Linked DNA regions of Lepisosteus oculatus. The protein of the gene in region 1 interacts with the protein of each later gene in a pairwise test. Links are inferred from orthologs where the notes say so. Each region holds a gene or a part of one and is shown in the gene's direction. Other genes may lie near its edges.

The links.
Region 2: the proteins of kifc3 (region 1) and bysl interact in binary tests that used the Homo sapiens proteins (3 or more experiments, as listed by UniProt). The link is inferred for Lepisosteus oculatus from reciprocal best matches to the Homo sapiens genes KIFC3 and BYSL.
Region 3: the proteins of kifc3 (region 1) and mfap1 interact in binary tests that used the Homo sapiens proteins (3 or more experiments, as listed by UniProt). The two-hybrid records come from large-scale screens. The link is inferred for Lepisosteus oculatus from reciprocal best matches to the Homo sapiens genes KIFC3 and MFAP1.

What each region holds. Positions count from the first base shown.
Region 1 is NC_090715.1:4,617,203-4,627,051, reverse strand, and holds the start of kifc3 (kinesin-like protein KIFC3), read left to right. Parts: upstream 1-5,175; 5' UTR 5,176-7,147; coding exon 7,148-7,378; intron 7,379-9,528; exon of another isoform or gene 9,529-9,765; intron 9,766-9,849. UniProt on the Homo sapiens protein: Minus-end microtubule-dependent motor protein. Involved in apically targeted transport. Required for zonula adherens maintenance.
Region 2 is NC_090700.1:40,787,879-40,797,892, forward strand, and holds the start of bysl (bystin), read left to right. Parts: upstream 1-5,738; 5' UTR 5,739-5,890; coding exon 5,891-6,167; intron 6,168-6,804; coding exon 6,805-6,967; intron 6,968-7,475; coding exon 7,476-7,614; intron 7,615-7,724; coding exon 7,725-7,858; intron 7,859-8,382; coding exon 8,383-8,543; intron 8,544-8,633; coding exon 8,634-8,736; intron 8,737-9,026; coding exon 9,027-9,378; 3' UTR 9,379-10,014. Other genes in the region: med20 (mediator of RNA polymerase II transcription subunit 20), read right to left, coding at 2,919-3,143, 3,245-3,498, 3,772-3,920, 5,465-5,478. UniProt on the Homo sapiens protein: Required for processing of 20S pre-rRNA precursor and biogenesis of 40S ribosomal subunits. May be required for trophinin-dependent regulation of cell adhesion during implantation of human embryos.
Region 3 is NC_090700.1:49,400,096-49,410,288, forward strand, and holds the start of mfap1 (microfibrillar-associated protein 1), read left to right. Parts: upstream 1-5,917; 5' UTR 5,918-6,033; coding exon 6,034-6,115; intron 6,116-6,908; coding exon 6,909-7,125; intron 7,126-7,773; coding exon 7,774-7,906; intron 7,907-8,249; coding exon 8,250-8,437; intron 8,438-8,941; coding exon 8,942-9,211; intron 9,212-9,461; coding exon 9,462-9,621; intron 9,622-9,870; coding exon 9,871-9,960; intron 9,961-10,193. Other genes in the region: hddc3 (guanosine-3',5'-bis(diphosphate) 3'-pyrophosphohydrolase MESH1), read left to right, coding at 415-526, 945-1,000, 1,467-1,707, 2,776-2,906. UniProt on the Homo sapiens protein: Involved in pre-mRNA splicing as a component of the spliceosome.

The sequences.
Region 1 (9,849 bases):
AAAGAAGTCAGCGTGTTAGCTTTGACAACGTGTAAGTAGGATGACAGCATCCTTCAATATGAAATCGATCACCTGCTGAGTTCACTCCTTTTGATTTTAACAAACAACATCCAGAAATTTTTTTCCCCATGGCGGACATGGTCAGACTGTGATTTCTGGACCTGAACCTGAGTGGCCAACCATTCAGGAGACATAGGTAACCCTCCCTCCCCCAAATAAGACATCTTCATCACACAGAAAGATCATTTTAATATTGTTTTAAAGCGTTTAAATAAGGATGTCCATGTTTTATAATTTAGGTAAGCTTTCATGATGAAAATTAGGCCACGTTTCACCCATGTCCTCAATTATCTCAAAACATTTTTTTTTCATTTTGACATTCATTGCAGTTCAGACCCTTATTTACGTCTCAAGGTCATGTCATTATTGCTGGAGGTACAAGATACCCCTGACCTGACACCCTGCGCTCCAGCACCTCTTCATGTGACTGACAGCTTCACTCTTTAACCTGCGCTGGTGTTTAAAGCTTGGAGGCCACTGCTCCAGGACTTGAACTTGAACTTTATTGCCATATATAACCAGTACATGTACCGGTACAATGGAATTCTTACTGACAGAAAGTCTCTCGATTGTTTAAAAAGTGTAAAAACACAAAGTGCAGACAGTGCATCAAGACAATATACAAACAAACAATAGACAATGTACAAGTAAACAGTTAGAATGTAAACAATGCAGACGTGTGAACAATGACTGCAGATGTGCAATAAATAAGAAATTATAATGAGGTAGATGGTGTAGGTGTGGTCAAATGTGTTCGCCAGTCGCACTGCTTGTGGGTAGAAGCTATTGAAGAATCTAGTGGTAAGTGTCCATATTCTGAGGCCTTGTTCACCTCTCCCGAGCTCAGGCTGTATGTTCTGTCTGTTGCTGGGGTTAGCAACGCAGACGTCGGCTCCTAAATCCACAATGATGTCATCACAGTGTTTTGGAACAGGAAAGGATCTCCCTTTGGGTGCAGGAAGTTGACCACTAGGTCATGTTACCTCAGATCAGCAAACAACGTGTACCCCAGCCAGCAATCCCTGTCCTACACCACTGTGACGCAGGCGGTGTCCCCCCCAGCTGTGAGCCGTTTGTCACTTTTTGAATCATTGAGTGGACAAGCTGGTGGGAAATCATGAGCTTCATCATAAGAAATGATGAGAAAGGGGTTGAAAGCACAGCAGAAGTTGATCAAAGGAGTCTGTGGACTGCCCCATGACTTGAGAAACACAATCTCATCAACTGCGTCGCGGCACTTGAAATCTGTAGAGTTAATGAAGTCGCTCGCTGTGGAAGCCATTAGTGCAAGTGATGTTGTAGCCTTCAGTGTCTCATGGCTCTCAACAAAGCTTAGCACTGGGAGATATTTAACGAGGACCAGGCGTGTCAGATCAGCTTAACTGGCAGGAATCGAGGTGACAATCTAAGTGTGGAGTGAGGGCAGGTGCACAGTGTGACGTAGTCATGTTCTGGCAGTTTGGAGGTGATAGTTTTCAAAATATGTTTTCAGCATTGTAGTCTGGGCTAATAAGCAAATGTCAAAACTTAAAAAAAAAGTTGAGTGTCCTCATTCTCGTCTGCAAAAAAATGACCTGAACAATACATGCACTATTCAGGCAATATAGAGAATTCATGTGGAAGATTGACCTGACACCCTGTATTCAAATGTCTGCTGTCTCCATCAATGGGCACAGCACAGAGGCTTCGTGAGATGTAAATAAGGGTCTAAACCATGATGTGTGTAAAAATAAGTTAATTTATTTTGAGACCTAATTATTTCCCCAAATGGCCAAGAATGTATGGAAATACTGGTTAAACTCAAAAGGAGTGACATCAAAAACAGCCATTTTTTCATGATTTCTTATGAATCATTAGTGAATGAAGTGCCTCCCGTTCAGCACAGAAATGCAAGGAAAGTGTCCTTTGTGGTTCTTTCTCGATCTGTTACTCAAAGGACAGCAAAGTCATTCCTTATTTTCTTAAAGCGGTGGAAGAGCTCGTTCCCGCCCGCGCTCCGCCCCATGCTGTCAGAGTCGGTGCTTGTGAATGGGAGGGTGAGGAAGAAAGCAAAGCGACCTGTTTGATCCCGGCTATTGACTTGCTGAACCATGTGACTGCGAGGCGTTCGGACTCGAGCTCTCCACGTGATCTCCGCTGCTCATTCGGCAGTCCTGCAGTGCGAGGGTCGTGTTCCTCCCACTCTCTAGCCGGAGGAAGTATTTAAGAAAAGAAGAGCCACACAAACGGCCTTTTCCTGCGATTTGCCGCAACGTGCTGCGGAGAACGGGAAATAAGGCACATCTTAACGTCAAGACACAATTTCAGTTTTATGATGCTTCCTTTGGATGGTTTTTGAAGCATCTGGCATTCAGCTTGTTTGCATTTACAAAGTTTAAGTATCAGCTCTATGGCTGTGCAGTTCGTTGCTCATTTCCCTGAAGTGCCCTTTACACTAGAGTTAATAACAGTCCATTATTTGTACTCAACGAATGTGTTTTTGCGATTACCTTCATTATAGTAGTCTGACTGATACGGTTGTTTTTGTAAGCAGCAGTCTGTGCTGTGCTGTGCTCATTATGTTTGCAGATGCAGGGAAGGTTAAGCCAGTCTGCATAGTTGGTTTTTATGCATCATTTTCTCCAGCCATTAATCAAGGATATTTCATGGTGGCGTCAGGCAAGGTTATTTTTGCAGGATGTTATGGCTACAGAAAACCCCTCAGAGTCCAAATCACCAATAGTTCAGTATGACCTTCTAAATTGCTATAAACCGCGTCGCTCTTTGAAAAGTCTTGGATAATTGAGGCCGGTGGTGAGGTCCGTTGACTAAAAATAGAACGTTATTGAGGTCGCGTCGCACTCGGAGATAACCAGCAGGTGGCGATGTTGCTACTATTCTGACTTCCTAGCAACCCTGTAAATACAATACAACATTACATTCCTCAGACGGCTTGCTCCAACTGCATTTGTTGCTACGATATAATATTAATAAAAACACAAACCTTGAAACAAAGTAAAATCCATTTTTGTGAATGATCTGCTGCTCTTGTATGCACAACAGCCTGTTGTACAGCTGCAATTCACAAAGCGAGCGGATCATACTTAAATTGGGCGGCATACAGTACATTATAAAACAAAAGAGGCTTTGAAATATAACAGTTACTGCCGTTAGTGGCATTTTGTAGTTCATTTGAGCCTGTTTTCCATTTCTGCTTTGCTGTGTCAAACTATAAAAAAATAAGTGTAATGAAAACAACACGAATTGCCTATTTGGTACATTAAGTCATAGCTGTGGGTTTCCTGTGAAGTGTTGTAATTAGCTAAGCTACGGCTTTATGTCTGCAATTACGTAATATTGTCTGTGTGAGTGTGTGTGACATAAGCATCATTTTCCCTAGTTCTCCGTTTCTATAATAGAAAGCTGTTAATTATAAAGCTCCCCTGAAGGGAAGAGCAGAGGCATGCTTGAGGATTTAAAGCAGTAGTTTACACTGTCTTCTGCTCTCAATTAGTGTGTGGCCGTATCTTACAAGATCAGACCTGCTCTTACAGAATCCTCCCTCATGAAGTTGGGAGCCCTGGAGAAGTGCAGTCAGGTCTGCAGTGGCAGCAAGCGGTTGAGTCTCCCGCACCCCTTTAAGACAAACCGTGGTCTTCTCTCCTGGGCCTGTGCCACATGCGAGTCAGCGCCTGTGTGCCTGTGCGCCCAGCGATGAGCCCTGGTCTCCAGCGTTCACAAGCCCCTGTGATTTGGGCTTCCAGTCCGCCCTGTGATGTGGTCTGTGCTGTAGCACTTTAAATCCGCCGTCGAGTGGAGATGTAATTACGGCCTGTGATTTGTTTATTTTTCTTCTTTTTCTTCCTTCAATTAAATGCCAAAATGTGCCCAGAATAGCTCTTCTGTGGAAGAGAAGGGTGTGTGTGAGGCAAGGGGAGGGTTTGGGAAGAGATTAAGAAAGCAGTGATTTCAAAATCTGCTCCTCTTGCTGGTATGTAAATATAAAGAAGTGGCTCAGGTTGCCAGGGAGACACGCTTCCACATGGAAATCTTGTTAGATTCACAAACCTTTGCTTATTTTCTCGTAGCAAGCTTTTCTGCAGTTGAATAGAGGTAGTTTAGCACATCGACAGAGAATTGGAACCTTTACCCGCTGGGAAGGTTACACTGGGAAGGTCATGCACTTCTGCTGCCTGAATGTAAGAGAGTCTACTTTATTGAGTCACATTTGTATCTGTGGCATTTAGTTCAGCCTCTTGTGTGCTTTCAAAGTGCAGTTACCAGGCGTTACAGCAGGGGGCAGCTTTTAGAGAAAGCTACAAAAATCCTCTTGCAGCTTGTAAGATTGTTACAGAGTCCATTGTGTAGCAGGTAAGCTGCTTAGCTACAGTGCTTTCATCTTCTTAGTACATCCCGTCCAGGATGTGTCTGAACTCGTTACGGAGGATTTATGTGGGTAGTGGAAAATCGATTTTACTGCATGGATTTTGATTGATTTGAACATGGGCAGCTGATGGTTCAGACTTGAAAATCCACTTGGAAATCTTGTTTGGTTCACAAACCTTTGTTTATCTTCTCAGACCTTTTTATATTAATATACATTTTACATTTCCTTGGTCCTCAAATCTACCCTGCTGTACTCTAAACTGCAGGATAGTATGTTAAAAAGTTAGCTGGGTCATGAGCAAAGATAGTTATCAATAGCGTTCTGGTCTGAAAATGTAAGGCCATTTGCACCCTCTATCCATTTCTGTGGCTGAGACATAACCATTAGTACCCTAGACATGTTACAAAATTAAAGAAAAAGTCAAATGTTCTGTTGTTGACTAACTTTTAGTTAGACATTTTCAGTTGCTGTAATTCCATTTTACAGTTTAACGGGAGATATAACCGTTTTTATGCAAATCCTGGAAAGACCCATAAATGTCTAAACTGTAACAAAATATTTTTGTGCTAAATTAACAGCCACTACAGTTCTCAAAGCACAAGAGTGTAAGTTTCCCATGCAGGGTCACACACACAATGTCTGCTCACACAATGAATGAGGTCATTCTCCAGGCGGCAACCAATCAGAAGCCTGATCCCTGTCTTCAATGTCTGAATTTGAGACAAGGGAAGCCACAGCAGATTTTTTTGCAAATGCAAATAAATGTGACATCAGTGTCCACTGCCCCATGCCTGCGCTTATCCCTGCAGCAGATGGACAAAGGACTTAGAGGGAAGGACTGTTGGGGATTCGAATGCAGAGTGAGATGATATTTGCCTTGGTGACACCCTCGGGCAGCAGATAGAGAATGAACTGAGGCTTTCTGATGAGCAAGTGAGCAAAGAAACGGCTCTCTGTCGTCACAACATTTTCAAGTATTTTGTGAGGCAGGACAAGTGGACAAACCGGTCGGAGAAACATTTCCCGGGCCGGTTTAGAAAAGGCAACAGGGTGCAAAACAAAAAAACTTATCAGCTGAATAACATACCGAGAAAAAACAACAGGGAGGTACAAAAGCGTGGGGAATATTTTTTTTCAAGTTTTCAAAGAGCACATTTTTTCGAGCACATTTTTTCTTGACGTTTATCTTGCCTTTTTTCATGAGCCATCGCAGCTGGAAATAACACGACTTCAGGTGTGTTATTTCTGCCTCAGACATCAGTGATTATGGTGATACCAGCAGCAGGTTCAATCTGAGAAACATTTTTTTCTTCTGGGTGTGTGTTGCCGTGCACACATCTTATCAGTGGAATACCTTCTTTATGATTGTGTTTACGTGTTGAATCGAAAGCCTGGAGTTACGAGTGCCCTGACCTTAACAAGCTGAAGCGATATGGGCTTAGGAGTGGCGCCCAGGGAGTCGGGACTCTGGACAGACTCATGGCTTTTCTCCAGGGCTGGATCGATGCTGGCAGCTGTTGAACACTGGATCAGTGGAAACACAGGGCCATTAGGAGACAGGATTGGAGCTCCTGTTTGAATCTGGAGTGTTTTGCTGAATATATCATTTCTTGCAATTTGCTTAATGCTTTACACCTAGGAAGGGTCCCAATTCTTTCACCATAAAAATACTTCTCCTTCTTGGGAATGCAAGCTGTCGCCATCCTGTATCAGTGGCCCTACAACACACTTGGGTAACAGGAACACGGGGAGCCGTCCAAACTCCCTTCTGGACCTTCTTGGTTTCCTGCTGGTGCTGAATCTCAGAGCTGTGAGTGAATCCACAGGGACTTGTTGGGTAACTTGCGCTGGCTGTGCAGCCAGATCCTTATTGTATTTGGTGGATCCATGGTGAAGAAATGAGACCAAGAAGTCTGTGATGGTAAAAATCAACATGGTGGTGCTTAAGAAAATCTGTCTTCTGCTTCCATGACTTCTTGAAACGTGAACATCGTTCACTGGGCTAAACACCTCCGAACTGGTTGACTGGACAGATTTTTGCGAGGAAAGTCATTGGTACCTGCATGTTCTTTATTGGGACCACGCTCGGAAGACTTCAGATTCAATCTCTGGACTTCACTGTAAGCAAATTCCCAAATGAAGAATTGTATCTTGGCAAACACAGTATCGCCCATGGGTGTGATATGGGTGCATTTGTTGAAAACACTTTCATTAGATTACTTCCTGCTAATTTGTTTATACTGCTGGGGTTGGAGAGCTTACTGATTAGCCTTTGAGTAAAACATGCAAATCAGGAGGAGGGTATAATTTTCCATAGTTCAGAGACCGAAGATCACAGATATATCGGAGACGATGACTGTTGATCTCAAAATCTGGAAGAAACAGTTTGCTTGAAGACACTCTTAAATTATTGTGAGCCTTTGAAAAAGAAAAAAGCATTTGGATTGATCAGCCTGGAAGAATTTCTGAAGCTGTGAACTCCTCTCATGTAAGATACTGGGTATAGGGAGCAAAACTCTGGACTGAGCTCCAGACCAGTTCTGGGTTTTCTTGGCTGCTGCGTTGGGACCTGCACCCTTTCACTGCGGACACCGTCCTGACAACAGCCTTGCCTTTCGGATTTGGTGACCTAAGAGCTTTCTGCCTGCTTCCCTCCCCAGTAGTATCCAGTAACTGTGATATCGGAGCAGGCAATCTGCCCTGTCTCTTTTTAGGGGTGCAATGTATGTCCTGTGCACTCTGGTGGTGCTGTCTTTGCACAGCCTGTTCAAGGGGCGAAAAAGAGGCTCAGAAGTGGAGAAAGTGAAGCATTCCGACAGGGAGAGAAACTCGCCCAGAGACTGCTGCACGGACAACCACAGCCCAGGATATGAAGCCCAGAGCCTGTGCACCAAGAGTAACAGAACCACTTTGAGCAACATGCCTGGCTGCTGCTACAGTACCTGGGCACAGGTGAGAATCCATCTTGCTTACAGCACAGAATAACCTGGCTACTGTGCAGACTGTACAATATTCATTTTCCTTTCTCTGTCTTTTGGGGGGTATTGGTTACCTCTTCCATCTCTCTGTTTTTGTGCATTTCCCTTTATTGGTCAAACATGTTTTATAGCGTCACAAATTACTTGTAGATTGTTTTTGTATACTCATTTGTTTCAGCGTCTAAGTAAATAAACTACTCGACACGGAAATTCCTATTTATGGAGAAAGAAATGAAAGGTGCACAGTGCTCCATCTGTTTTATGCAGGATTCATTTAAGGGATTATTTGCAAGCGAAGTCATTTTTTAATTAAATGTTGTTGTTGTTTTGTTTCTGGGCAGGTACTGTAGAATGGGCTAAAAAACAAAACCCTTGTTTTTTAAAAAGTACAGGAGGCCTGTTTATTCTACCCTTGAAGGAAAATTAACTTAATGAGTGTAAAATCTGAATTGCAGACAGTAACTTCACACCCTGACATATCTGGGTGTAGTGTCCAGGAGCAAGCAAGAATCTCCGTGCATAATTCTTAAACGTTAGTGCTGGTGCTGTCAGAGTGGGAGTCTGCAGCTCTACTGTTTGCAATCATCTGCAAGTGCATGAGCTTTTTTTGCCTTTGAGGATTTGTTTAGGGTTTGTTTCAGCCTTTGCCAGCTAAATTGAGCTCGAATCCTTTTCAGATGCTGATATGCAAATACAGCTTGTAAATTCACCAAGGGAAAGTTGGGGGTTGACTGTGGGCTAAGGGGCAGTCTCGCAATAGGCAAAATTCTCAAATACTCAAAATGAGGTTGTTGCAGGTTCAAGTTCCAAGTGTAACTCTGTGCCTTTGTACTGTTGAGCACAGCACTACAGAAAGTATCGTCCGAACAGATCAATACTTTTTCTGTTGCTGTTGTTATTCCCCCTTGCGACAGACATCCTGTCCAGGGTGCACCCCGTCTTGTGCCCCTGCTTGCTGGGAAAGGCTCCAGCTCCCTCACGACCCTGTATTGGTTATGTAATACGTAGATGGGCAGTTGTTGTTGTTCCCTAAGTGATATCCAAGTACAGAACAATGCATTTTAGGATATTGTGGTGTTTGTGCATTGTGCACCACTGAGTTTGCCGAGTTTGTGTGTTTTTCTGGATTTCTGGGTGTGATGCTGTCTGACTTAGGACAGTCACATTGTATTTTCTTAATGGCTTTCGGACAGGGAGGATGATTGAGAAGCCCAAGCCTTTCAGTGCCATGTTACACTGCCTTCATGATAATGCTCCAGAATTTAAAAGGCAGATTACCACTGTGGCTCAATAATTCATGTGGGGTTTGGTTTTGTTTCCGTTACACCTGAACGACAGGAACTGGCCCTATTGAAGCACGCCTGTCTTGCTCCTTCCTGCAACTAGCCTGTGTTGAGATTCTGTTCCGTCCATCAGCCCAGTGACGCTCCATCTGACATCAGTCAGAATACATGAGGATGTCAGTTGTTAAGAGCAGGATTGCTCCTTGCTGGGGAGCATCCTCTTCTAACACCTGGCCCATGAAGTCAGAATATACCTAATTCCATTGCTGCATTCCACTGGTCACCCTGCGCCTGCACCGGCATGAGCTTTTCCTTCATTGGGACACTCCTTGGAATAAAAAGTCTCCGGTCTTGCTGATCTTAACAAAAACTTATGCAGTGAGAAATAATTTGCATTATCTTCTCTTATGGAAAGAGGAGGGGGACTATTAAACAGAACTCTGTCTGGTGTGACCCCAACATGTACAGGCTGCTTCTGGTAGATGTAGGTTTTTGTTAGGATTGTGAATTTTCATGCCTGGAATTTAACAAGCGACTCCCAGAGGTGTCACAAATAGCAGGCAATAATAGAGGATTAGAGACCTGAGGTCTGATAATGTATTATACAGCAGGTCTCTTGCTTACAGCAGGAGGAGTCCCTTGGGACTGAACTAATGGCAGTAACAGGAACCTCCCTCATGGCAGTTTTTTGTGGAGCTGAGCAAAGTGTGTGTCTATTCGGCAGCAGCTCAGGACTTAGAGGCGCAGTTACCTCCTTTACTAAATATTTCAGGTTCTGGGAGGAGGGGAAAGGAGAAGCCGGGCTTCATTTGCCAATTAAATATTAATTTTGAGCACTGAGGTGTAGTTGCCAGTGTAGGGGTGGGGAGTGGGATTTTGTTGCTGAGGAGTGATGGGATACTGGGTTAGATTTCCTTGTTACTAAGTAACAGGAGGAAAGCAGAGCACCGAGAGGCTAGTGAGAAGAGCCCGGCTGGTTTATCGGAGTGGTGCTTTATGTAGCTGTGTGCTCCGTGCTGCACAAGGGGCTGGCAGGAGATGTTGGCGTGATGGGGAGCTTGGCACCGCGGCCCTGGAGGTAGGTAACCATGCTGAGTGCCTGGTCTGTGCGCCGCAATAGGAAAGAGGAGGGAGAGAGGGCTGGATGGTTCCCTTTCATTCC
Region 2 (10,014 bases), on another chromosome or scaffold:
GAGGTTTTCTGCTGTAAACCGTTGTTGCAGTGTTCTTTTTAAAGAGATACGTTTCTTTTTTAAGAAATCCTTGTTTTTTTTGTATATGTCTGTGTGGAGCTTTTATTTACCGCCATCATCTGCACGCGCGAGCTGTCACCGACCGCGAGACAACCGAACAGGAAGAGTCCCGCCCCCCTCTGGCGCGCTGATTGGACAGAAGTGGATCCATCGACTGGTAGGCTCGGTTCTCCATTGGCGGCTGGGACATCCATCAACCAGAAAGCCCTTAAAAAGCCGATTCACAGATGGCCGTACGTGAGACTACTCGATTTCTTCCGTAAGAAGGAAGGAAGTTACGACGAATACGTAGGCATGCGGCTGGGAATCCTCGGCTTCTCTACGGGGATTTATATTCCCAAACACTTACGCAATGCGCTGACTTCTTTACTAGCGCTGGTGGGTTTATATCGAGACGTACGCACCTTGCGCAGCTCTCCTCAGTAAGTTCGGTTGGACGGAAAGGGTAGTAAGTAAGGTATTCACGCACAGACAAAGAGAATTTATAAAGGCATAAACGTTTCGTTTTTTTATTATTATTATTCCTTACAGAGTTGTTTTGATGCTCATCTTGCTACAAACCCCAAGGCCCGGGTGTGAAAATAAAGCCAGTGCCGAAGACGTTAATAAAAGATTAGGACCGAATTAAAATATATGTAAATTAAAATACCATTGCTTGGGCATAATAGAAGTGGTCAAAATAGCTGGTTTTCGCTTTTCAAAGACGCAGCCTTAATTTAACTATAATTTCCGACATTATTCTAACGCCGATTATATTGAAGGGAAGAAAACACTTTTTGGCGTCACTATGTCTCGCATTTCAACAAGTTGCGGCTCCTTGCTAGGAGCCGGAGCCGGGTACAACCTGGCCCGGTGGGTATTTCCTTCAACAGTTCCCACCCGGCTGCGCGTCGTTACACTGATCGCTCGACCGAAACTGAAGGACCTGCTGCATTTTTAGGGGTGTCCTAAAGGATTTCGTTTTCAAATAGACAAATAGACATTCGTTTAGGGCACAGTCTAAATATCCTACGATACATTTTTATATATTTCAGTCATGACGTTGCGCCATAAGGAGTGATGATATTAAAACTTCCAATTTTGTCACGTCAGCTTCACCTGTGTCAGGGGACCTTATATTAAAAATAACCACTTTTCCACTCCGTTGTAAAACGACCGCATTTTTTCCATTTCTAAATAAACACCCAACTAAAAAGCCGGCGGGTCTTATAAGCTCAAAGGAACAAAACCCATACATTCCTTCCTCAGACACGCATTCCGTTGACAGACCGGCACCTTCAAAGATGCAGTTAAGCAACAGGCAATTTTTCCCACATCGTCACCTCCACCGTCCCCACGGCGGCACGCTGGGGAACACGGAGGCAGAACAACGTGCTTCAGGTTCAGCTCATCATTGGGAAATAGTTTTCCCTGGAATCCTGCAGTACTCCTGCAGGAGACTGTAACACGGATTCACTCCACAAAACCTGTTAAGAGGCTAATTCCCAGACTCCGAGACGTCCGGATCAGAGCCACACCTGCCAGGCCTAGCCAGTGCACGAAAACGGCACACAGATCGCCTCACTGCCTGTAACTGGGAGCTGCTACCCTGCGCTGCCCTGCCCTGCTGTGCACAGCGACATTTTCATTTCTCCCTGCAGCACTGCTTCTCGCTAAGACTCTCCAGGAGTCTCGCCTTGGTGATAACTGCAGAGTTCAAAGTCCTGTTGGTGATGTCGAGAGGAAAACGCTTCCTTGGGAGCAAAGCTTTACTTATGCAGCAGACACCATGTGGATCACAAGAAGCAGGAGGTATCTGCATGACTCCTGCGCCCTTGAAAGCTGGCCTGGTCTCCATTCTCAAACACCCCCCACTCCCAGTTCCACAGAAGGAAGCACCGTTTATACCCTGACCACCTCTTCCGCACACCTGGCTGCTTCTGTTCAAACACAGCAGAACTCGCATGAGTAGTGAAGAAACACAGGGGGTCCTTACAGTTGTGACGTACCTTGAGAGCTCGTCTTTACTCATTTTTGTTTAGCACGTTGCGCTCCCTACAGCTGTATCTTGAGGAGGGGACGCAGTTTATCCACTGCAGAAGTGTGGCATCAGTCACCCGAGTGACACGCAGCAGATAGGGTGAATTACCGAGAAGAATTTGCTTCACCAGTAGGATTACAGAAAATGTTATGGAAGCTAGACTGTACATATTCCTAGTGGATTATAGTCATGACAGCAGGGTTAGCACCTGTCCTTTTGTAAACAGTGCCCCGAGGTCTTCTAATGACCAAGTAGACAGGACTTCAATGTTTTAATGTCTGATCCAAAGGAAGTCACCTCCTACAGCACAGCATCCCTCGTTACCTTGTTACTATACAGAGGCACAGGTTTGGAAATTCTGGCCTCCTCAGGGCCACTGCCTCCCATCCCAGAACTGACCAGACCCAGCCCAGCGTACAGGGTGATTAGCACTGCTGTCACATTAGTATTAATGCAGAAGTACTAGGAACCAAAACACCTGAAACCTGAAAACTGACCAAGTTTTTACTTAACTTGAAGAAGGAGGATCACATTATAAGAATCATTTTCCTTGCAAAGGAAACACTTGAAAAGTTTTTGCGGCCGCCTGGAACAAGTTCTAGCAGAGCGCGCAAACACCTTTAACCTTCAGTATTTGTCAACAGCACACTGGGATGATCCCCTTGCTATGAGCTGGAACAGGAGGAATGTTTCTCCAGGCGCCAGGAGCTTTCCAGCAGGCTGCTGTGCCTCTCGCGCAGGAAGTCCAGTGTCCCACTCGGACCCGCGCACACACAAGCACAGCTGGCTCAGGCTCGTGCAGGGATGGGAACCTGTTCTGGAACTCGGGGGCCTCCTCTCAGCGCATGCTGCTCCCGATTGCCACCTGCTGCTTGCGCACCTTGCCGAAGAGCTCCAGGTACTGCGCCATGGTGTCCGAGCAGTCGGAGGGGCTGTAGATGCCGTCGGGTTTGGCAGTGAAGACCATGGGCAGTTCGGGGGTGTGGGGTCCCAGGAATCCCTGCATGAACTCCTTCATCAGATTCCAGCAGTCGTTGGGCACCCCACATGGGCAGTACTCCACCTGCACACACGGGCACACGCAATGTTAGCAGCCTTTCAGCTCCTCACTCCTGCCCCCTTCCCACCTCTACTTCTCCCACTGGGTGCTTTCCTGCTCCTCACCTCCACAGAGATCCCTCTGGCGCTGGAGCCCATGGTGATGGTGCCAACCTTGACCAGGAAGTCGCAGTACTGGAAGCGCGTGCCACGGCTCTCCACCTTGTTACCCTTGGCGTTCTGGAAGTGGCCCTTCAGCTTGATCATCAGCACGTCGAAGTTGGGGTCGGCCACCAGGCAGGGCCCGCCCTCGAAGAGAGCGAAGCAGCTCAAAGGCATCTCCGAGTTGTGCATTACGTACAGGAACTTGGTGGGCTGCCCTGGGGTGAGAGAGGGAGAATGTACAGGCCAGCAGGGCGTTCATCTTTGTACCATCTCAGCCTGGGTCTCTAACACAAACATTTTACTTCTGCATCAAGCCTCTGTGCGCTAGGGGTATTATCTATCTGCATCTTTCCCCCTTTCCTTATTAGCTTTTTTAATACCCTCTGTCTCAAGCTCTCAGTGCTATTTTGTGTTGGACAACTCTCTCCACAACACTCTACCTCTCTCTTTATCCAGAGTAACCACGCTCCCTCGCTCAGCGCTCTCACCTGTAGTGCCCATGGCCCCCGCATGGTAGGTCTCACAGTCCACGCAGAAACTGCCCTGTTTCACTGCTCCCAGCTGCTCCAGCTTCCTGTGCAGCATCTCCACTGTCTGCTGGACACTCTTCCCCTCCACCACCGGCACCTGGCACACACTGCCAGAGCACAGGGTTACTGCTAACACTCCACACACACACACACACTGCCAGAGCACAGGGTTACTGCTAACACTCCACACACACACACACTGCCAGAGCACAGGGTTACTGCTAACACTCCGCGCACACACACACACTGCCAGAGCACAGGGTTACTGCTAACACTCCGCGCACACACACACACTGCCAGAGCACAGGGTTACTGCTAACACTCCGCGCACACACACACACTGCCAGAGCACAGGGTTACTGCTAACACTCCGCGCACACACACACACACTGCCAGAGCACAGGGTTACTGCTAACACTCCGCACACACACACACACTGCCAGAGCACAGGGTTACTGCTAACACTCCCCACACACACACTGCCAGAGCACAGGGTTACTGCTAACACTCCGCACACACACACTGCCAGAGCACAGGGTTACTGCTAACACTCCCCACACACACACTGCCAGAGCACAGGGTTACTGCTAACACTCCCCACACACACACTGCCAGAGCACAGGGTTACTGCTAACACTCCCCACACACACACACACTGCCAGAGCACAGGGTTACTGCTAACACTCCCCACACACACACACACTGCCTGAGCACAGGGTTACTGCTAACACTCCACACACACACACACTGCCAGAGCACAGGGTTACTGCTAACACTCCACACACACACACTGCCAGAGCACAGGGTTACAGCTAACACTCCACACACACACACTGATTTCAACTAATAACCTTCCTAACTGAACAAATTATGAGTTTAACTGGTATTTTTAACACACTGCCGGACTGTGTCAAGTCAAGACTGGAGTTGAGTTCTTATAAAGCAGATAGTTTAAAAACAAAAAAGCAAAGCATCATATATCAATTAGATCGTTTAAATTATATATTTTTTAAATGCATAAAAGTTTTAAATAAATTGTTCTAGGAACCGAGCAAAACTATAGTGCTATTTTAAGAGTTGGTTCAAAAGTGTCATCTTGTGACACAACTGTGCATAAAGCTTTTTAAACATACTGCTAAATTGGAAAATGCAATCGGTTCTGGAATAACCTGCATTAGCCAGGCTGCAGTTACATAATTCAAAACAGCTCCTTTCTCCAAACCACCTTCTTCTCCTCCTGCAGCATCATCATACTGTAATTGTAACGATATACCGCCGGACCAGAGACTCCGCTAATATAGCACACCCTGTCCCTGCACGTAAACAAAGCACGCTGCCTCCTTTCAAACTGCAGACCATTTCGTTTCAAATGGCTTCTAAAGTCCGCAAACTCACAACTGTTGCTGTCGGCGCAGCCCCACCAGGGCCGCGGTTAACCAGTTTAAAAACGTCTGTTATCGTATTATTTAATATTTATGGTGAGGCTCTGGACCCGAGGAACCCAGCTGTGACTATGTTGTTGTACACGTAGGTATGAAACTCGCATTGCTCCAACACCATGTCCAGCCGTGTAAAACAATACGCTCCGGATCGCCATTGTCAATGAAATGACGTTTCTGCTGCAATAAAAGATTCAAATAACTAATCTTACCACGTTACACCCATGTTCGCCTCTGACAGAACAAGACTCCTCTAACTTCACGTTACTTCAGACACGAGCTTCCTGTTATCAGGAAGAGGAAGTGACGCCACGATCGGAGGTTGACAATAACAAATTAGTACAGCTAATTTATATTCATATTATTCTTATCGTGAAATTAAATGATCATTTTCAAGACTTCCTATAAAGACGTTTTTAAAAGTTGTCTTCAATTTTATTTTTTGTGCTTCGAGTGTCGCCATGATTGTGCGGGGTGGAGGGGCGGTGACATCATTTCCGGTGAGTGGCAAAGGGTCACGCGTGCTTGCTGAGTGGTCTTTCTCCACATGTGCGGGCAGAGTTTTAAGTCTGTTTTACAGGTTTCGGCACACAAGACAAACAGAACTCTGACAGCAGAGCGAATCGGCGCCTACGGAGATGCCGAAAGTGAAGAAGACGAAAGGCGGAGGGAGAGCGGAGCACAGCCGAGTCGCGATGGTTCCTCTGGCCGAGCAGATCCTGCAGAGCGATGAGGTGAAGAGCAGCGGCCGGGTGAAGAGCCGTGGCCGCCGGCAGGAGGCTGAGGACGAGTACGTGGACGAGCGGCTGTCCCGGAAGATCCTGGAGCAGGCTCGGATACAGCAGGAGGAGCTGGAGGCGGAGTGCGGGCTCGGGAAGACTGCGGAGAGTAAAAAGCAGCCCACGACCGTGCTGGGTGAGTGTTTAGCGAGGGTGACAGAACGCGTGCCGCTTGTCACGGGCTGGTCCTGCGTCCGGCACGGGTGCGACCTATCTCGGCTGTGCGTGCCGCGTTGTTTGTAAGGAGAGTGACATGAGTGAGGCGTCCTGTTCGTGAACTGTTCGTACAAAAGAGGTGGAAATCAGATACCGCTTCTCTCTGCTGTGCTTCAGCTGCTTGGTCACACACGGCCTCCGGCGCGACCCCTAGCGAGAGGCCACAATCCCATCACCCACCTGGCCAGGTTTTCATGAAGCCAGCCGTAATGCTGGCACTTTGAGAGCAAGTAGCAAACATTGAATCCTCCTTTGGTGTCTAGTGTCCTGAGAGTTATGGGCAGGGGGGTTGTCACCGTCTCAAACTGTATCGCTGTAGAGTGTTGCGATTTGATTCAGAACCAACAGTGAAAACTACTGGGAAGAGTTCTTAAAAACTGAGACCAGGAGGTACTTCTATACACAGAGGGTGGTGGAGGTCTGAAACAAGTGGCCCAGCCATGTTGTTGGAGTTCATTCCCTGGGCCATTTCTGGAAAGATCTGGGTGAAATGATGGGATCAGCTAGCTCCCAACAGCCCTGATGGGGTTTTCTGACCTGTTCCTGTTGCCCTGCAGGCTCTGGCTCCAGGGACTCGGACTCGGAGGAGGAGGAATGGCCGGCGCTGGGGCAGGGGGGAGATGGAGAGGACGGGGAGGGGGCGGCAGGGGCAGAGGTGGAGGTGGACCCGGAGGATGAGAAGGCCATCCAGATGTTCATGAGCAAGAACCCGCCGCTCAGGTACTGACCCGGACCGACCTACCTCACAGAGCCGGGCTCTGGCAATGCAACAGCAAACCTGCTAGAATTCCAGCAGCGCAGCCCAGAGTTTACTCAGTGTTTCTCAACCACAATCCACAAATCGTGTGCAGTGCTCTCTTCCACACGTACGGAACTTTGCTGGAAAAGCTGCCTTGAATATCTGTTTACGTCTAGAAATCCTTGAGATGGGACCATCTTTTCTCTGGCAATGAAAAGACCCCACATCAGTTCCAGCAGCAGAGTCCCTGTGTGTCCAGTAATAGTCAATGTTCAGGAGCGGTCCAGGAGTCCAGACTGTTGAGGCACTCGGGAGTTCTGGGGTCTGTCTGCCAGGGTTTGATGTGGCCAACAGCAGACAAGTGACTGTCTCCTTAAGCCCTGCGTTGTTCCAGCCTGGAATGTCCTGCCCCCGTGTGCGGAGTGCGTGGTTGCTATCCTCCGGCCTCAGTGTGTCAGGCTGCGTTCACGACTGTGCCTCTTCCCCCAGGAGGACTCTGGCGGACATCATCATGGAGAAGATCACAGAGAAGCAGACGGAGGTGGAGACGGTGATGTCGGAGGTGTCGGGGCACCCCATGCCCCAGCTGGACCCCCGAGTCATTGAGGTGTACAAGGGGGTGAAGGAGGTGAGCGTCCTGTGCTGGGCCACGGTGTGGGCGGGGACACCCTCTCTCTCAGTCTGTGTGCTGCCATTCCCTGTCTCTCCCTCACTGTCCTTTCTGACGCACTCTCCCAGGTTCTGTCCAAGTACCGCAGCGGAAAGCTGCCCAAGGCCTTCAAGATCGTGCCTGCTCTGTCCAACTGGGAGCAGGTGCTGTACATCACAGAGCCGGAGACCTGGACGGCGGCAGCGATGTACCAGGCCACACGGTGAGATCAACACTCCCCTCACAGCTCCCGAAACACTTGGCCGGCAGACCGCACTGCTGTTCTTTTGGTTTGTAGCGCTGACACTGTGCAAACGGACAGAGGAGAGGCTTTCCTGTCGTCTCTGTAAAGTGGTTCTCTTTTTTAACCAAGAAAACATTCTCTCATAAACCACTTCAGCCCCAAACTCTTTCCGTGTTCGTAGGGCTATGCGTCCAAGAACATGAGAGCACCCATTGCGCAGGATTCTGATCCACTTATAGTTTTACAAACTGCAGGCTTTTATTCAACTGGTAGCGGCTTTTGAATTTGTGATGGGAATTCATATGTGCCTCAATATGCACAGAAGAGCGTGTAAAGCTAATTGCTACTGTTATGCTTAATCGGTACAATGTATACAGTACAACCTGGTTAAACTCAACCAGGTCAAGCGACAGCTGTCGGATGTGTCCTGTGTGAATTATTGTCCGTGTGCAGGTGTCCCTTTTCTACGCCTCATTTTTCTTTCTCCCTGTTGCCACCTGCAGGATCTTCTCCTCCAATCTGAAGGAGAGGATGGCTCAACGCTTCTATAACCTTGTCCTGCTGCCGCGGATTCGAGATGACATCGCGGAGTATAAACGGCTCAACTTCCACCTGTACAGCGCGCTGAAGAAGGCGCTTTTCAAGCCTGGGGCCTGGTTCAAGGGTGAGAGTCTAAGGCTTTATAATGGCCGTCCCTGGCAGTGCAGGAGATGAGCCACATCGCTAACGTCTCTCCCCCCTCTTTCTCGCTCAGGAATCCTGATCCCCCTGTGCGAGTCGGGGACCTGCACGCTGAGAGAGGCCATCATCATCGGCAGCATCATCACCAAGTGCTCCATCCCTGTCCTGCACTCCAGGTACACAAGCAGGAGGGAGGGCCGGCAATATTATTTCGTTATTTGGCAGGCACTTTTATCTAGCGCAACCTCCAGAAGTTACTATTGCAGCACCTTTTTTTTTCCCCCATGTACACATGTTGGTGTCCATTTCTGGAGGTGTGTTGTTTTACTCTGGGGTAAACAGCAGAGGCCCCACCTGGGATTCAAACCCACAGCCCTTTGGGCAGGGGCTCAGAGGTCCCCTTCATGCTGCAGAGGTTCGGGCAAGTTCAGCACACTGAATGGTCCCTGTCTTTCCCCTCCTCCAGCGCGGCCATGCTGAAGCTGGCGGAGATGGAGTACACCGGCGCCAACAGCATCTTCCTGCGCCTGCTCCTGGACAAGAAGTACGCGCTGCCCTTCCGCGTGCTGGACGCGCTGGTCTTCCACTTCCTGCGCTTCCGCAGCGACCGCCGCGCGCTGCCTGTCCTGTGGCACCAGAGCCTGCTGACGCTGGCGCAGCGCTACAAGGAGGACCTGTCGTCCGAGCAGAAGGGGGCGCTCCTGGAGCTGCTCAGGGTGCACTGCCACCCCCAGATCTCCGCCGAGGTGCGCCGGGAGCTGCAGCACTCGAAGTCCCGCGACGAGGAGACCGCCGCCCCCGCCATGGCCCTGGACTAGACGCCCTCCGGCCCCGGCCCCCCGCCTTCCTGCCTCATCATGTTCTAGAGAAATTGCGTCGCTTCCCTGTTCCAGGCCAAACGGCAGAACGTCGTGCTTCCTCTTGATTTCAACAAAACGCAATGGCGCCTTTCTTCTCTTCTTTCCTGGAGCAGAAGCAAATGTTTCCCTGTGGGGGGAATGGGCCGGCTCAGTCCTGCCCTGGGCTCAGCTCGACTGTGCGACTCGGGATGCGGATTTCGCATGGGATTGGCGGGGTCTGGGGAATGTGAAGGGGACGAGGCTTCTGACTGGGAGAGGAGGTCCCGTCTTCACAGCTGGAGGCACCCTTCTCTGATAAAGACACCGTCACGAAGGGAGTCACCCCGCCTGCCAGCAAGCAAGCGTTCAAGTAGTTGTCAGAGAGTGCTGTGGCATGTTGTGCAAGCTCAGTGCGTGCTGCTCTTACTGAGGAAAAAAGCTGTGAGTTGTGTAGAGCCAGTTAGCAGAGCTGGGAGGGCAAGGGGTGTTTAGGGCCCGAGGCTGCTGCTGTGTGGAGCTGTCAGCTTTCTAAAACTGGCCATAGACATTCCCAAAAAGCCGTCTAGACTCGCGAAGAAGCCCAAGTGGAAAACTGAAATTGAAAAGACAGCAACT
Region 3 (10,193 bases), on another chromosome or scaffold:
CCTTTCCTCCTTGCGGAAGCAATTATTATTGTCGGTTGTTTCAGTCCGGATGACACAAAAGGGACACATCCTGGAAGAAGGGAAAGAAACTGTTTGATAGAACACGACGGGATTTATGTTCGTACTTAAAAATCACTATTATACAATATTTAATGGAGTAATTAAAATTGTATTTGATACTATTTAGAATTGTAACACGGTGATAAACTTAGATTTCACAATATTACTTTGGCAAATTAAAGTATATACTGTTACGTTTTCGTTTTGCGTTCATTAGTTGATCAAAAGCTCTATGTCGAAGGAGATAAAAGAGCAGCGTTTCAAGTTTTCTACCACAGGGAGGCGTCATTTTCAGAGGAGAGAAAAGTGAATCTTTTTTTTTTTAACCTGTATCGCGCTGAAGTTAGATCAAATATGAGTTCGGATTCAGCGTTGCTATTGGAAACCGTGAACTTCGCCGCAGAGAAACACAAGTACCAGCGGCGCAAAGACCCAGAAGGCACCCCTTACATCAACCACCCCATCGGTACGGCCCGCCGTGCGGAAGGATTGCACTGCATTTCTTTGTTGAAAATATTTGCATATTTGCAGTTGAATAGATATTTCTGATGTATAACAGTGGCACACATGACGTACAGTATCATTTGTGTGTTGATTATTAACCTTTTCCCTTTGCAAACTTTTCTCAGAAGAAAATAGTCGAAACAAGCAAGCTGTTCGTCACATGGTGATTTTCAATTGTTGATGTAAAAACGTTGCATATAATTTTGATCATTTTATAATTCTTATCAAGAGAATGTGTTAACAGTCGGGAGATGCTCTTTAAGAATGAATCACTTTTATAAAAGATTTGTAATACTAGTGTGATTGTTCTCTCCTGTTGCTTCCTTTAAAAAAAGGAATCCTATATCCTTGGACTTTAAGATTTTTTTTTTCCATTCTAGGGGTGGCTAGAATTTTAAGTCAGGAAGGTGGAGTTACGGACATTGCAGTTTTACAGGTAAAAGCAATTTGATTCTTGTGTGCACAACATACCCCCCCAGTAACAAACATGCAAGTACCTATGGAAGTATCCTTAGGTACATGTCGGGCTGCTCTCACTGCTGTAATCTGTACCAAATGAGTGACACATTTGGGTATGCATGTGTAGTTTACTTGCAATCTTATTAGAATAAACAATGTGAAAAGATATTTTCTTGTGTAACCCGAATAGTGTGCACTACATCAGTTGCAGTGTTCATTTTTGCATTAACAGATGTTCTAGGAATGGATTTGCTGTGTTTCTGCAGGTATGAAATGGTTAAGTAAATGAGAAGTATATTGATTTGTCTGTAACACTGCCTAATTTATTACCTTGAATCCGTTGATTAAATTTACATCTTGTTAGGATTGTATCACCTCCAGCACTGGAGGAGTTCAAATGTGTGGTCAGCTGTCAGTGAGCACGTTGTTGTGCCCCCCTGCAGGCTGCACTGCTCCATGACACAGTGGAGGACACTGACACCACCCTGCTGGAGCTGGAGGCCATGTTTGGGACGACAGTGGCGCGGATCGTCCAGGAGGTGACCGACGACAGGTCCCTTCCCAAACAGGAGAGGAAACGGCTGCAGGTGGAGCACGCCCCCCACTGCAGCCACCAGGCCAAGCTGGTCAAACTGGCTGACAAACTGTACAACCTGAGGGACTTGAACCGCTGCACTCCCACTGGTGAGTCACCTACAGGGCAGCCACAGAGAGGCTCAGGGAGCTCAGCAGGTGTGAGCCTGGTCAGTACCTGGATGGGAGACCTCCTGGGAAAACCTAAGGTTGCTGCTGGAAGAGGTGTTAGTGGGGCCAGCAGGGGGCGCTCACCCTGCGGTCCATGTGGGTCCTAATGCCCCAGTATAGCGACGGGGACACTATACTGTAAACAGGCGTCGTCCTTCGGATGAGACGTAAAACCGAGGTCCTGACTCTCTGTGGTCATTAAAAATCCCAGGGCGTTTCTCGAAAAGAGTAGGGGTGTAACCCCGGCGTCCTGGCCAAATTTCCCATCGGCCTTTATCAATCATGGCCTCCTAACAATCCCCCTCTATGAATTGGCTTCATTACTCTGCTCCCCACTGAGAGCTGGTGTGTGGTGAGCGTTCTGGCGCACTATGGCTGCCGTCGCATCATCCAGGTGGATGCTGCACACTGGTGGTGGTGGAGGGGAGTCCCCATTACCTGTAAAGCGCTTTGAGTGGAGTGTCCAGAAAAGCCCTATATAAGTGTGAGCAATTATTATTATTATTTGAAAATACGATCTCCTTCACAGCTGTACATATACATTTTTATAGATCACTTTTTTTGTGATGTGAGCCATTATGCAGTGTTTCAGATTTTGTCACAATAAGAAATGATAGCTTTGGGCCACAACAAAAATACGTTTTTGTTGTGTTGTAGCCTGACATTTGTGTGACTGCGACTGAACGTGTAAGATCGTTTGTAGGGTTTTAAAAAAAAACATTATGGCTCGAGTATATGTTTCGCAACAGGAACTCGGAGACATCCTGGTCTTGTAAATATTTGCATACCTTCTTTGTGCATGTTCCCCTTTTACTTTACCGCAAGATAGCTATTCCCTGTTATTGCCCTTTCAGTATAACTTGAACTTCCTTATGTGCGTGCATAGGGTAATTTAATACTTTCCACTACAATGTGGTCAACCCCTTTCAGAGTGAGCAGACTCGAACGTCCTGATGTGTGTGATCTGCTGGGCGTGGAGCCGATGACTCCGACCTTGCGTTGTTTCAGGCTGGACAGCAGAGCGGGTGCAGGAGTATTTCCTGTGGGCAGCCGAGGTGGTGAAGCGTCTGCGGGGCACTAACATAGCACTGGAGGACAAGCTGCAGCAGCTCTTCAGGGAGAGAGGCATCGAGTCCTGACTCCCATCGGCAGAGACACCCCGTCCACAATCTCTACACTACCTCTTCTCCGGTGCGGGGCTCCTTACTCACCTGACGGGAGCAGAACTGGCTCTGCCCTAGATAGCACTGGCCTCGGCACTTACAGCTCGCGTTGTCTTTTGGTTGTTTCTGTATTATTAAAGACGAATGATTGTATTCTGTCCCGGTCTTTTTATAATCGTTTTGTTTTAACAGACTATAGGTTATGCATGCAGTAATTCCACATGTACAAGGTGCACACTTATTCAGTTTGTCTAATAATATAGTTACAACATAATTATCGTAGAACCAATATTATGTATTCTCTGCTTCAGAATACACATAATAAAATGTTCATCTGCAACTTCTTTGTCAAAGACAGTGGTTGTAATACATCATTGTTATTAGAAGATCTGCAGCCATTTGTGGTCAGGTTAGAGACAGAGACAAGATCTCCAAACCTCAATATATAAACCACTCATGCTAAATTAACCATTCTGTTTCCTTATGAGAAAGCAACACAACAAATAGGAAGCAACTACAGTAAATACTGTGCTCATTTCATAGTTACAGAAAGCTTTTATTTACTGTTACTGTAGAACATTTGAAAGAACGTTTGCTTTCTGTAGAGCAATGCAAACTGAAAAGTGTATGTGTGAAACTACCCTGATTTATGTTCAAATGTTGAGCACTGTGAGAGAGACAGCTACAGTGTCATAAAGATAACCATTGTTTTGAACACCATAAGACCCCACACTACTTGAGGTTCACAATCTCATGAAACATTTAAAACTTTAAATAGGCTTAGTGGTATTATAGTAAGCCTATGCCACTGAGGGAACAAATAGAAACCAAATATTTGCCTCAGTCATGTCAGCTTCCTGTCTCTGCAGAATCATCCCACCCTGTAGGTGTTGGGGTGTGTTTTGTTTCTTAAAACGTGTTCACAACAGTTTCCAACTGAAACTACAAGTTTGCCAGCACAAACAGGAAGCTACAGATCTGCATACTGCAGGAACGGAGACAGAAACATGAAGGTTCTCATGCTGTATTGGCTTGCTGTGTTCACTGTTGGAGTCAAAGGTAAAACAGGGCAAGACTAGTAATATATTCCTGAGAAGTGAGTACAATGTGAAAACAATTATTAATTTTAATATAACTCCTAAAACACGATGGGGAAAAGCAGTCTGTGGTATGTAAAAATACCAGATTGGTGGATAGTCTCATCTGCAAAGGTTTGTTTTGCTTTTATTGTCTAATGGTAGCTATGAAACCATAAAAAGACAGGAGAAGTAATTTAAAGAAATATGAAACTATTGCTAATCATATCTTTTATTATCTAAAAGAAATGCAACTTAAACTAAGTTTTACTATTTTTTTTATTTTTAGGTTACCTTGAATATGACAATGAGTTTTACATTGAAATCTTGGGATTACGTAAGTAAGAAATTCTAACTCAACCTGGAACTTCTTAACCTGGAAATCTGTAGTGTGTGTAGTAGGGCTCTAGAGATCTTCCACTTTTACAAGCAAATGCTTAATGCAACAATGAATTAGTGACAAATCATTATTCTGTTATGGAAACTTATGGTTTGCCTCTGCATGGTTTATATAGCAATATCTAGTTTTCAGCAAACACATGTTGCACATCATCATTGCATGCAAATCTTTTAAGACTCTTGATGGGATTTATAGATGTGAAATGCAGTTTTCATATACTTTCCAATGTAATGATGACTGTGTTTATTGGTGTCTACTAATTCTTTCTGTGTGTACTGTATGTGTACCTAGCAATGAACAAGTGTCCTGTTCAGAGTGTAGTCCTGCCCTGCCCCCTATATTTCCTGGATAGTCAACTATGACACCAGAAAAAAGCAATATTCTGATGGTGGGTGATTGCTTAATGGTCTTGGTCTTGTTGCAGGATTTCCTGGACCTTGGTTCTGGTACACATTATATGGTGTCTCAGTTTTTGACGCGGTCTGTGTTCTCATCATCTCTTCCCTACATGTGAATTTCCAGTTGCGCATGAGACAAGTGAGAAAAAGCACTGCCCGAGAACAGAGGAGTCTCATTTCCTCTAATGACTTTGGCCTTGTTTCTGTCGCAAGTGGAAGAACGCAGCTGACCGACCTCTGTGAACTTCAGTGTTAACCCCATAGAAGACAGAATCTTCTTGCAACAATTTTCTACAATATACTATATGTTCACTTTTTCCTCCCAGTCTGAAAACACGAGAATGAAAAAAAAAACCCAGAAACAACTACTTTTATAATAAAATGGCAGTTACAGTGCTCTACTACTAATACTCCCAGATGTAATAGCATTCCTGTAATTTTGTTTTTCTAATGTAAATTAAGTTCTTGAATAAAATAAAGTAATGTGACAAAACAACGACTCTTTTACTGCATGATCCTATTTCTTCCGGAAGGTGGTTGTGTGTTGTGTGTGAGAGAAGAAGGCGAGGAATCTGAGGTGAATAATTCTCGAATAAGAATCGGCACAAAATGATAAAAATTGAAACTCCAAAACTAAACTCACGTTATTCTACTTTTGAAAATATCCTCCATTCATGTTCTCGTCTTTTTAGTTCAAATGTAAAGAAAGATGTTTTTGATGGGACACGGCATAGAGAAATCAATGTAGCGATACATTTTCTTAGCAGTGTTAACTTATATGCAATGTTGACGTACAGTACATTATTTTCTATAAAATATACTAAAACACAAACCAGCTTCAAACCGTAGATTTACACTAGGTTTTCGTGCTTTCAAATTTTATTCCAGTAAATATTTTAATAAAAATAATCATTGCTATTTTAAATAATATTTCTATAGATTATAACATGTTGTTTATAAAACCTACGGAATTAATTTGTTGTTGTTTTTTTTCATTCGCCCACTACGTTAATGAATGTTGGTCCAAAATAAAGATTAAGGAGGAAGCTCTGTAGTTTTTTGTTGCAGTTCGGAATCCAAGCACTGTAACAACATCCGGCGGCTTGGTGTCGTATTTCCTGTTTCTCTGCTACGGAGAGGAAGGAGATAGTTGTTGAGTGTGTTGTGAAGCTGATCTGAGATACATTTGTTTCTTTTGCATTTGTTTTTGTCATTTTTACCGTCCAGTCATGGCGGCACCGAATTCTCTCAACGTGAAGCAGCCGCCGATTCAATCCACGGCCGGAGCCGTGCCGGTGCGCAATGAGAAAGGTGAGTTGTTGGACTGAGGCTCCGCATAAAGCGAGGACTGGTGATCATCGGGCCCTTGTTTTCGGTTTGAAAGTTAGAATACCGAGAGGAATGTGTCCAAAATGATTGACTTTCCTACAGGTTGTCTGTGAAAGTGCACGAAAATATTAGTTGAAGTAAATGTTAAATAATTATACATTTAAGTTAATTTTATATTGTAAGACATGATGAAATACTGGATAAATACTTGTATCGGTATTAATAAATATATGATATAAAGTTAAAGTCAATAATTAATAACAAAGCGGGAGATTATTTGTTTACACTCGATACAAATACACATATAAGCTAATGAAAACGTAGACCCAATATTTTCGATACATATATGGTATTTGATAATACTACTGAATAGAGAAATGTTGGTATTTTTGTGTTGATTTGCGAAGTGTATGAATCCATTTAAGAAATTAAAATGCTACGTTTATGTGTGTTCTATAGATACAGATCATAATTGTTTTGGGTTATAATGAAACTCTTTAGCCCTAGTGTTGATTATTCAAACAGGTCTGATCGCAAGAAACGCAAAGGGTAATAAAAAACACCAGTCGTCATCGTTTCCAGATTTCTGTGACTATTAAGGGAGTTCCATGTAGCGCTTGTGTGTTATTGCAGTCTTCCAGAGGTGCGCTGTCTGGGGGAGCCAGAGAGAAGCAGGGAGTGAGGGACTCTCCCCAGCCCCTCTCTTGGGCAGCGCTGTGTGTGCATGTGTTCATGCGGAGGAGGGAGGTAATGGGGTTGCTGTGTCTTGCTGCAGGTGAGATCTCTATGGAGAAGGTGAAGGTGAAGCGCTATGTGTCGGGAAAGCGCCCGGACTATGCCCCCATGGAGTCCTCGGACGAAGAGGAGGAGGATTTCCAGTTCATGAAGAAGGGCAAGGAGGTGGAGCCGGAGGTGGAGCTGGAGGAGGAGGATGTGTCGGACCCCCGCCTGAGGCGGCTGCTGAACCGCGTCACTGAGGACGTGGAGGAGAGGTACCCTGGGGGGGGAGTGTTCATCCGCTGAGAACATCCCCAAGTGGCTTGACTTGGTGACATCCATCCATTTTCTAACCGCTCCCTCCAGTTCAGGGTCATGGGGGAGCAGGAGCCCATCCGGGCAAACAATGGCACGAGGCAGGGTACACCCTGGGCTTGACGCCAGTCCATGGCAGGGGCAGAGAGGCATAGACGCGTACACACTCGCACCAGGTCCAGTTAACCTACCGGTGTGCTTTTGAACTGAGGGAGGAACTCGGAGCACCCAGGGTTAACCCACATGAACACTGGGGGGACATACAAACTCCATCAGATAGCACACAATGCTAATCACTGCACCATTGTGACATTATCAGTTAAAAATGGAAATTGTGAACAAACAGAAGTTCATTTATTTTATTTTTCAGTAAATTTTGTATTGCAACTTCTTTGTGTTTTTAAGTGGATGTAACTGCATGCAGTATAGCTGTCATTTTTATATAGTTGATCTGTCATTCCAAATAACACTTTGATTGTCGTGATGGTCAAAATGGAAAGCGGCCTGGCAGTGGGACTAATAACATTATTTGTGGGTCATGTCGTTTTGATTCTTTTGCTGTGAGGTCTGATTGCCCTATCCCTGACACAGACCCTGCTTTTCCTCAGGTTGGCGCGACACAGGCAGATCGCAGAGCCGGAGCTGGTGGTGGAGAGTAGCGAGGAGTCGGATGAGGGGGGCTGGCATCCAGACCAAGAGGAGAGCAGTGAAGAGGAAGAGGAGGAGGAGGTTGACGATGAGGTAAACGCAGAGGAATTGGGTGTAATAACTGGATTCTAGTATGAAAGTGCAGATCGGTGTCTTTCCTGGGACAGTAGTTTGCTTATAAATTGACTGTCCTGGGATTATTCAAGAAGTGGTTTGTTGAAATTTTATCAGTTAGCTACTAACAAGCCAAGATGGGTCAGATGGTATTCCCTTGTGTGACTTCTCGTGTTGTAATGTTTTGATGTTTTCCTGACACGTGAGAAGATTATTTCCTGCTGTTCTCAAATCTTTTCATTGCTAGTGCTCTGTTAAGATGCTGTCTGATGGTAAAGAAGAGTCCCCTGTGAGCCCCTCTCCCCCCGGTGTTTGTGTGTAGGAAATCGAGAGGCGGCGTGCCATGATGCGTCAGCGGGCGCAGGAGCGAAAGAACGAGGAAATGGAGCTGATGGAGGTGGAAGAGGAGGGGAAGTCGGGAGAGGAGTCGGAGTCCGAGTCGGAGTATGAAGAGTATACTGACAGCGAGGACGAAACCGAACCACGCCTCAAACCCGTCTTCATTCGCAAGTGGGTAGTGCCATTTTGGGCGGAGGGTCCTAATACAAGATCGGAAGGTTTTGCTCTTTCAGTGACGCAGACCGTTATTGTTCTAATAATTTATCAAAAAGTTTAGTAAGCATCTGACTGCAGACAAGTAAAGAACTGGTACGTTTGGCAGGAACATTATTTCAGTTTCTTTTCGTTCTTTGCTGTAAGAACACGTGGAGTGTGTTAAACGTGTTTCAGAGTCTGAGAAGCTTTCTGATCCACATATTACTGTATTCCAATTCTAAAGTTCAGAATTGGAACAGAATAATGTGAAGTCTGTGCTGGGAAGAAATATGCTGTTACAGCAGTCTCCCCTCGAAGCTAAACGTTCGTTTTACTGAGGACCTGCAGGGCTGCTCAGCAGTGTCTTTACTGGGGCTTTGCCAGTGTAAGAAGCAGTGAGCAGGTCACTGTGAATGCGTACACTGCCAGAGTGGACTGCGGAAGCAGGCCCTCATGATGGAGCTCTGCTGGCTCTTGCAGGAAGGACCGCGTGACGGTGGCGGAGCGGGAGGCCGAGGAGCAGAAGCAGAAGGAGCTGGAGGCCGAGGCCAAGAAGCAGGCGGAGGAGCGTCGGCGCTACACGCTGAAGATTGTGGAGGAGGAAGCCAAGAAGGAGTTTGAGGAGAACCGGCGCACCCTGGCCGCACTGGAAGCCCTCGACACGGATGGGGAGAATGAGGAGGAGGAGTACGAGGCCTGGAAAGTCCGCGAGCTCAAACGCATCAAACGGGACCGTGAGGCCCGCGAAGCGTAAGTTTGGGGGGGCACCACCCAGGTCCGTACGCACTCTGGTATGAGAAGTACCGTACCTGATCGGCAAATTACAGACGTCTGCAGTTTGGGTTCCCTGAAGGGCAGCGTGAATTCAATCAGCAGTGGGCATATGTTTTAATCAAAAAAGAATAATGCTGACTGTGGATTCAGCTTGGCTAGTAATTCGTGATCTGTGAAGACCGGTTTGCCATGGTGGGGTGTGTCTCACTGGGTGTTGTGTTCCCAGGATGGAGAAGGAGAAGTCGGAGATTGAAAGGTTCCACAATCTCACCGAAGAGGAGCGCAGGGCAGAGCTTCGCTCCAACGGCAAACTCATCACCAACAAAGCATCTAAAGGCAAATATAAATTCCTGCAGAAGTACTACCACAGAGGAGCCTTCTTCATGGTGAGTCTTCTCTTTGTTTGGTGGCCATGATGAGTGATAGACTGGGGTTGTTGCAGTACATTCTTAAAGTGATAGGCAAAAACAACTGGGAGCTTGATATGGGAGAAATTATTCTATTGAATTGAAAATCAGAAACAAAACCATCAGATTGACTCAAAGTAGTTCCATTATATTTGTGGTGATTTTGCTCTTACCTCTGTGCAATTTTCTGTGGCACTGGAATTCCTAATTGTGAATCTGACTGTTTAGGATGAGGAGCAAGATGTATATAAGAGGGACTTCAGCGCCCCTACCCTGGAGGACCATTTCAACAAGACCATCTTGCCCAAAGTCATGCAGGTGAGCTGGCTGGAGTCTACTCGTATTGCTGAATTTATTCATTTCTGGGTTCAGCTGAAGATCAAATGCTAACTAACATTCTCTGGATTTTTGTGTTTACCACCATTTCTGTTTTGAAAATTATTGCATAGTTAGTACATCTTCATTATTATGCATGATTTGGAAATAGTCAAGTATTAGAATATTATCATTAATTGCGACATGGAGAAAGGGAGGGATATTAGGTATACCTG